Drosophila melanogaster: one gene and its partner. The protein of the gene in region 2 interacts with the protein of the main gene of each other region in a biochemical or structural test. Each region holds a gene or a part of one and is shown on either strand. Other genes may lie near its edges.

Region 1 (4,566 bases), on a different chromosome or scaffold from region 2:
GCAGCATAATTCCAGCCTATAAAATTATCCCTCAGCTCGTCAACTTTCTCATCTAGTCGAGATTTCTTTCTTTTAGCCATATCTTTAAGCCTTTTTAACAAATTGGCCTCGAGTTCTCTTTGGTCGGCTGGATCTAAAACCTTCTTGGCATTTTCATTAATAGGAAATTTCGTTGTGGGCGGAAGTTTCTCAGCTGGAAATTTTGGGCAATCTACTTCGGATTTTTTTATGCTTTCCCTTTTTTTGGCTCTTTGCTCAGAGGACAGCAAATCGTCGTTACAATCGGTTTGAGATCCTTCTCTCATAATCAGCACAGGTTTGGCTGGCCGCAATAAGAGTGGAATAACGCTTTCAGCGTCACTTAGTTGGTTCTTCTTCACATTTTGTATGCTAGAAGTTCGGTATATGTTTACCAGCTTGATATTTCCAGTTTTATTACCAGGTCGTAAGGCATTTTGAAGGCTTTTTACTTCTGTTAAGGCTCTATATGCACGAGTTAGTCCTAATGAAATCTTGTAAGCATCACAAGCTCGGCGTTTTAACAGAAACGATATCATGCTTTCGTCTATATTCTTTATCTGATTAACTGAACTCTTTGGCAAGTGTGTTGAATCAAAGGAAAATTCAAAGCATACTACTTCCACATTTTTCGAACTTGATATGTTAAAAAAGTTTACATTACTCACAATAACGAATATCGGAAAGTCCCATTATGGATTTTCCCTATAATGACCGTAAGCCCCGCTGGGTTCAACTAAAATCTTATCACAAAGAATCGATAAAATATGAAGAACCAACTACTAGTGTACAATGTATATGGTAGTAGAGGGAAAATAGCAAATGAATGCGCCATATTCTGTAGTCAACCACGGAATTCAAGCATTAGCATTAATAAACAATTCATTTGAAGTGACACCAGCGGCCACAGACCCATTTTCGGAAACCCAAATATCCCCCTATTGGAATCTCACGGATAAGGAACATCGAATGTTTTTTTTTTTTTTTTAGTAGCACATTGAACAATGCGTGGCGCGTGATTTAAGTGCAACCAAGTGTACAAAAATGGACAAGAAGTGGAAAAAGCGAATAGTAAATCACAAATACACAGAAAGAAAAAATATTGCGATTGTATTTGTGGACGAGCGAGTGAGTGAGCCGCAATGAAAGCAAATTAGTAATAATCACTTTTGTTATATCTAACAAAATATGGGAAAAGAGCTCAGATATGGCGCACCACTCGCACTCACCCACTCGACTTGATGGGCGCGATGGGGGGAGGGGGCTTTTCCGCAATTTGTATAAAAATGAAAGTAGACAAGAAAGGAAGTGCTAAATTTAGCGATACCTTATATGCATAGATGAATGTGAAGAAGAGGAAACAGCAGCACCACAAGCGCCGCAAATAAAACAAAACTTTAATTTACCACAATGTGTGTTTCGATTGGACGGCTAAACAGGTGCGTAATTGATGGTTTTCGAAAAGAAAACCAAACGTGAAAACAAAGCTTGCTGGGTCTGGCGAATGCCAACTGCTCCAAATTTCCCGTAACTAACCAAAAGTGAGTCAAGAAATTAGCCCAAACATGTGAGCAAATTACGAAAATAAGTGATTACGCCAAAGGCATGCTGGGTAAATAGTTTTAAGGAATTTTTTGCTGTTACATTTAATATTTTATAACACTAACGATTAAGAAGTACAGGGTAAAACTTTTATGCTTTTGATGACCGGAAGTTCTGCTTTAGGAACTAATTTAGACCGTCCTATTTGACGGATAGGTGATAGGCACTAAGGAAATTAGATGCTAAGATATATCCAATTAATATTAAAATACTTACGAAATAAATCCTTGCGGGCCAAGTTTCTAGCACACAATACTGCAAGTAAAGCGATATATTAGTGGGTTTTATTAACAATTGTTTTTATCAGCAGACTTACTCGTTATTCGAACTTTGTGTGTACCATTGCGACGTGGGTAATCCAATTTATTCATAATTTTCGACTTTTAATTGATATTGTTTGATTTGTATAAAAATAAATGGATTTACTTTGTGTATTGATTATTTATATGTCGCGGGCATGTTGTTGTAGTTGTTGTTGTCGTTAAAGCGCCGAACGGAGAGCGAAGAAGAAGAAGTGCAAGTAGAAGGTGGAGGAGAGGAAGCAAAGGAGGTGTAGGAGGAGCAGGTGAGGGCGGTGAGAGGTAATTTCATTGCCGAAGGTAACTGCAGTTGTTATTGTTGCTGCTGCTGCTGTGGCGGTAGCCTTGACGGTTGCAATTGTTGTAGTTTTTGCGTTTGTTGCTGTGTGTCATGGCACACGCACATAGATATATTTGTATATAAATAATAACACCGATTTGCTTTTTTTATAGGCTGCAATCCAAAGATAACAAATGGAAATGGGTATTATTAGTAAGTTCGTTAGAGATAATGTGTGTATTTTCCCCCCAAGTGCAAAAACCCAACCCAAAAGCGAGGGCGTAGGTAGGAAATCGTTCAGGTAGGCAAAATATTCACGAAAAACTCACCCGAAATTGTTTTGCTGGTGTTGTTGTTGTTGCTGCTGCACCTCACACGCACATGTCTCGCTCACTCTCTCACGCACACACACACGGACGCAGTTCACGCATGCTGCAGGGGAGAGCGGGAGCGGGGTTCGATCTGTCTCTCTCCCTCTGCCACTCTATTATTTCACAAATTGCATTAAATGAAATACCACTGTGTGTTTAATTAACTTTAATTTAGTCGCTGCTCCAGTATGGGTGCCACACTATTTACTCGCACTAGTATTTCCTTCGCTATCGATGTGTGCGCGAGTGTGTGTGGTACTAAAATTTGCAATAATAATCAAAGGAGGCACACTTGTATTGTTCTAGTTCACTAAAAATCGGACGAAAACTCTGCGAACAACGCACGCCCACACAGTTGCTCGTCCACGGAACGCTTGATAGTGCGCGAATTATGCTGCCGCGGCCTCACGCGCTATTGTTTTACGGATTCCCATAAAAATTTAACTACAACTTCGAACGCCATTTTTATTAGTGGTGGCACAAAGTCTAGTGCTGAGTGAAAAATCGATTACTCTCTTATACTATCGATTTTTTAGTGCTAATATTCTTGGAAAACATCGCATATTGTCAAATATATATATATAATACGTATGTAGTCAGATACTAAATTTAAAACAGCATGAAAACTTGTTCAGTGATGGTAAACAGTGATCTCGTTACCATCTACAAGCTTTGATTTACAATATAATTGTATGTTTTTGTTATATTGTTACTATCGAATTAAACTACTATTGGCTATCGGTTGTAAATCGATGAGTTTAGCTGCTACTCAAACCATCCTTCTTAAGCGCAAACAAACAAACACATTTTGGCGGAGTTTTTGTTTACCTTTTATTTTGCGCAAAAAGTAACAATGTCAATTACTCTAGATTTTAATGGTAAGAACTTTGCCAAGGGTAAGAATTTAGACGTGCACTACTTGCCGGCCAAAATAGACGGCGATGGGGAAGCGAATGTAAAAAATTACTTCAACAACTACACACGTGAAGCAACCGAATTCGGCACAGGAATCCTGACGAACGCCTTGCGCGGATTTCCTTTAATGGGAGAGAAGTTGAAAGTGCCCGAAGGATACTGCGGATTAGTTCTGCAAGAAACAGAGAAGCCCATCAGCGATACCTCCGACCGAAAGTTGCGGCTAACTGGAGTATTTCAAGATTTTACTTACTGGAACTACGACAAAGTGCCGTCCAATGGCGATCCCTACCGACAGGCCCTTCCTCTGCCGGATGTTGCTCAAGCTGTATGTATATACCACTATATATTCTCGAAGTACACCTAATAAATACCACATTTTATTTATTTAGCTCTCGCAGCCCATTAGCGAAGAGGATTTAGAGAAAGAAATCGCTCGTAATAAGGAAAACGTCAAGGAAAGCACGTAGTTTTGTTTTAATCGCGCTTACCGCGTTCTATTTATTACTCCAAAATCTAATCCAATACATATATATCGTACATTTTATCTGGTATAAAACGTGGTATTGATGTTTAAATAGGTTATGCTTCACTCATCAGCGTCCTCGAATCGCTCTTCGTCGTCGTCCAAACTGAGATTCTGCACGCCGTTGCGCCCAAGCGTCAATGCATCATCCTCCTCCATAGCCTCATCCTCTAAGCCACCGGCATCCTGCATAGGATCGCTGTCTTCCGAATCACTGTTTGCCGAATCAGGATGTAGGGCCTGGCAAGTCGTCATGGCACTGTACATAGTGTCTACGGTGTGAATGTCCTCCGGCATAAGCCAGCACTCTGTGACCTCTCCAAATTGCTCGTCTACGGCATCCTCGAAATTGTCGTCCTCATCGTGCTCATCGCTGCCATTTCCCTCGTCCACTTCCGCTTCCGAACCACCGCCATTCCGACCATTGACTGCCTGCTGGGGAGGATCTCCGTAGACGCCGTTCCACTCGACTTTGTGGTCCAGCATGAAGTAGATGCACTTTCTCGGATTCGAAGAGATACCGTGCAGGCTAACCTGCTTCCACTCAATGGATAT
Region 2 (4,640 bases):
CAAAAAAAAAAAATTATTTACACATCTCCCCGACGGGGAATTGAACCCCGGTCTCCCGCGTGACAGGCGGGGATACTAACCACTATACTATCGAGGATGTTGAACTTAGGTCGCCAAATTCAAAATATAAACTTGCTGTTGATCTATACATCCGAGTGTTATGATCATAAGTTATATTAATCCGAACTAATATTATATATAAGATAAAATAAGATAAGATATGCAAAATATTCGATGCTGATTTATAACACGCTTTTTTAAATCATTTTATTAAGATGGTAGACTCACCATTTTCCACGGTCTTGCTTTTCTCGTTGTCGGCATCCTCATATCCCTCTGATCCTGGTCCAGATCCCATTTCCATGCCACTCAAAGCGGCGGCGGCCATAGCTTCGACGTCTGGCTGAACATTCGCACTGAATTCACCTACGGGGCAAACAGAAAAACGGGCAATACGAAATATAAGTAAATTGAAAAACTGTGTAACTAATTTGTAAACAAAAAAAGGGAGAGCGGGTGGGAGTCTTGGCACTTGAGTTGCTCTTCTGTGGCGCCAGGCAAATGTCAATTAATAATTTAACAACAACAATTGCCCGTTTGTCGGGCGCCTGAAATACGAGATCTTAATTGAAAATAGAAACACATAGGGGCGATGGAGAGGAAAAGGGGAGTCGCACCAACGGAGAATGGGCAACTTCAACTCTCTTCCTGCTGAAAGCGGATGAGCGTGGGCCAACTAGACAGCTAAACGTGTGTCATAAACTTGGTCAAAAGGCCGCAGAATTTAGTGCCTCTCCGCAGACGGCTGCGTTCAGAACCAGTTGCCAGCCAAGTAGTCGGAGAGGCATCTTTAAGATACTGTTTGACAGCTCGCCGAGATTACGTCTAGTTCTGTCGTCTGCACGCCACAGACTTGGAGGATGACGTTCCTCGACGGCTCAAAGCCCACGCAATGAGCGCGACTTGAAGACCAAGAAATCCCCCTTTCTCGAGATACAAAACCGAGGTGCAAAAACCCCACTGTGCAACTTTCAGTGCAAATCAGCGGAAGCGACTCAGACCCAATCTCAGCGAAAGGGGTTAGGCCTCCTGCAGGGGTTTCTGTGTGCTACACTACCCATGTTTCCCCTACACTCACTTTGCCAAAATTAATGAGCAAACTTCATACGTAATTTGATAAACAGAAAAAGTGGTTGGCGCTCATTGGGGTCTTATCAAAACATTAGTTATTATTTATGATGCGTCTCATTTCGAGAGCTGGTATAATATATGTGTGCCACTCGACGGGCAATTGAAATCTCGTACGCGTGTTGGGTGGGCGAGGAAAGTCGCTATTCCATTCCGAATCTGTCAAAATGATAAAATGAATTATGCGAGTGCAGGTCCGATAAAAAGCTGCCATTCATGGAAAATCGGCGGCAATTGCGGAGCGCGAGCAAAGGATAATCTTAATTACGACCATAGAAAGTCGTAAATTAATGGAACTCAATAAAACTTTAGCGTAACATGAGTGGTGTAAATTATGGGAAACCGCTATACACAGTAATAAAAACATTATTAATAAAAAAAAAGTTCAATGATATCGATAGGGGGTTTGCGATATTTTTTAGTTTTGCAACACTTAAGAAGCAATATAATATTTGTTAGCTGAAAGTGCCTTGCTAAAATTTGACTTTCTAACTCCTCTTAGTTTCGAATATTTTCCAGTGCAACCACGAAGTTAACCGAAGCATTGATAAAGCCCATGTCTATGGCTATCGACTATCGCTAATTGATTGAGTGCCTTGCACTTGTCGACTCGAAACCCGCAGACCAAACGACGTAATTCCCCCGACGCGTCTAATATTTTCGCCACTTTGGTGTTGTGTTGTGTTGTGCCTTACACTCTCTGGCAGTTACATAAGCCATCTATCAAAGATTGCAAATTGCTGGGTGGAAAACTCGCGGCTCTTGTGTTCGACACATTTCCAAGAACTCAAAAGCAAAACAAAACACAAACGTGACAATCCATGTGGGTGCAGCCAAAGAACTGCGACCAGGGGAACTGATTTCGTATGGGCAGAACATGGCGACAATAAGCAAAACCCAGGCACAAAGTGGAGCACGTGCAAATTGGCTATCAATCAATATGCATACGGGTAGGAAAATGTACTGCGATGATATAGTTCGCATCGCTTCAAAAGATTCGCAATTACGTAGAAATAAAAGCAAATGCCGACTGCATGGCAAACGAATTGAATGGCTCCCAGCCAAATGGCAAAAATGTTAGGCCTCTATGACACTAGGTCGAAAACATAGTAGGCTATTCTAATGTAAATTCAAACACTTCCATATAGTAACATATTTTTTAATAACATAAAATGAAGAAAATTGATGAACAGAAGCAGCGCAGTCAAAGGATGAGCTAAAGATGCCAGCTTGCAGGAACACCATGAGCAGTCAGGAGCGCACGCAGAACATCAAGCGCTAGATAATGGAGGATGAATTGACCTTGTGCGAGGTCAATACCCTTTCAATCGATTATGAGGCGGCCGGCAAATGACAGTTTAACAGCCGCCACGGAACTAGCTGATCAATCCATTATTGACGATGTTTTTGGAGAAGACATCCTGATGAAAGACTTGCAGCGTAAGAACACCGTGCAGCCCACTTGCTCAACAACGACATCGTATCTTGTCCCATTTGCTTTGAGAAAATGAAGCGCGGTACCATTATGGTGTGCTTGGAACCGCCATCGTTTACTTCAAAGGACTTGGACACCCGTTTCTCCTCCTCGGGATCTTCCACATCACGCTGCACCAAATCGAAATCAAATTCATCAAAGCGAATTCTTCGCAGCTCCGGTTACACAGAGCTGAACAGCAACTCGACTACTCTGCTGTCCAGCGAGGACGAACTTACTCCGCGTCAGCGCCTCTAGTGCAATCTCTTCAAACAGACCGTCGGCTGTCCCAGATGTGGCCTGGAGTTCAAGGGCCACCAGCTGAAGGCGCATCAATCTCTCTGCCAGGGTCGCAAGAAGCACTAGGACGGCACCTTATACGAACCATACATTAAATAAGTTTTTCACAATTTTTCACACAGTAAATTTTCTTCATGTTATCAAAAGTGTGTTACAAGCAAAATATATAAAACAACTGATTGTAAAGTCAAGGCATGCTTATGTATCTAAAATATTGCTTGTTTAAATTTCAAGTCGATTGGTGTCATAAACGCATCTCTCAGATGGTCAGTGAGTGAAAATCAATTGGGTGTGGTCTGGGTAACTGGGCTTTTCAGCGGTTTGCCTGCTCATTGAACCTTGTCCAACTACAAAATGCTTCAAGTACTGCTACATTTACTGCAAAAATGGCCTAAAAATCGCCTTTCAAGTTGCACTTACAGTGGCCCAAAGAAAAACGCGGCCAACATTGTTGCCTGAGATAAGAAAACTTGGCTGGCGAGAGGAAAAACACACAATGAATAATGAATGGCGAATGTACGCCAGATAAACCCACATTGCATTTGTTGTGGGTTCGGGTTCATATTTTCATATTCATATTAAGTGACTGATTGATTGATGGCCCAGGCAACTTGGAGGTTTACTTTCAGTTTATCGTTCGGTAAGTCACACGTTTCTTTCCAAATCGCTCGTGGTTGGGATGTCAACTTGGAGATTGATGGCAGAATGGGGAAGAAAACCCCAAGGCAATCAAAAGTGAAGTAAAATAGGAGTTACGATAGCCAAAATGGGCAATTAGCAAAGTGGGGGTGCGTTTAAAGTTGTGTTTAGCGAAAGTGAATCACATTTCCTACATGTAATACCATGTTTTTGCTGTTTTATAAGATGCTTATGCATGAAGATGGCTAAAAATAGTATGTGTCACACACATTAATTAGAGTAAAACTGTATATTTCGTAACATAAAAATGCTATCTAGAGATTAGTGCTCCCTCCTTTTCACCACCATTAGAAATCCCCTAACCCAGTCGAGATTCTGGCCAGCAAAGATGTTTTGAAACTGGGTCGTCGCCGCTGAGTGCGCGCACTCTAGTAGCAATTAAAAATTTTAAATATTCCTTCTGCTGAACAGAATTTAGCAAACTTGCATTGGCCACTCAAAAATAGATCAAAGTGAAATTTATGTTACAGATTTTGGGTTTTTTTTTTTCTGGGTGGGGAAAACCAGGCGAACGGCGGATGCGAGAGTGGGACGATAGGGCCAAAAATAAATTCCCCGATGCAGCCATTTGGAGTTGGATTCTGTCCATCAACGCGCCGAGTCCATGCTAAATGAGCTGCACCCCCCGCCAGTCCGATGCATCGGCGTGTGAACATTAGTCAAAAATGCGTAAATGAAATCAATTAAAATTACGCATAGCACACGAGACGCATTCGGAATGGAAATCGATGTGTGTTTACACATTCTGCCTACGCGCTCTGCATGGCCTAATGAAGGCACGTCCCCATGCCATACCATCCTATACCACTCCGTCCATACAATCCCATCCAATTCGATCCCCAGGGAATTGGGTATGGGGAATGGTCGAGGGTAAGGGTTGAACCCGAGTGCAATTGGTAATGGCCAACACAAGAAGAAGAGCGGCGGAGCAGGGGATCACTGAGTGCCACTTCAATTTGTTTACAACAAGTTGGCCCGC

What was found. Proteins that work in one complex are often made in the same cells at the same time.
Region 1: of the proteins of tkv (region 2) and Smurf, one has a biochemical effect on the other in vitro, tested with the Drosophila melanogaster proteins (one study listed by BioGRID).

What each region holds. Positions count from the first base shown.
Region 1 is NT_033778.4:17,591,275-17,595,840, reverse strand, and holds the start of Smurf (SMAD specific E3 ubiquitin protein ligase), read right to left. Parts: upstream 3,051-4,566; 5' UTR 2,529-3,050; intron 2,374-2,528; 5' UTR 1,992-2,373; coding exon 1,937-1,991; intron 1,876-1,936; coding exon 1,837-1,875; intron 575-1,836; exon of another isoform or gene 558-574; coding exon of another isoform or gene 1-557. Other genes in the region: ND-51L1 (NADH dehydrogenase (ubiquinone) 51 kDa subunit-like 1), read right to left, coding at 1-557; CG30105 (uncharacterized protein), read left to right, coding at 3,424-3,813, 3,878-3,955; icln, read right to left, coding at 4,075-4,566. UniProt on the Drosophila melanogaster protein: E3 ubiquitin-protein ligase which accepts ubiquitin from an E2 ubiquitin-conjugating enzyme in the form of a thioester and then directly transfers the ubiquitin to targeted substrates.
Region 2 is NT_033779.5:5,241,081-5,245,720, forward strand, and holds the start of tkv (thickveins), read right to left. Parts: upstream 3,060-4,640; 5' UTR 2,996-3,059; coding exon 2,902-2,995; exon of another isoform or gene 1,619-2,901; intron 1,541-1,618; exon of another isoform or gene 1,139-1,540; intron 427-1,138; coding exon 289-426; intron 98-288; exon of another isoform or gene 26-97; intron 1-25.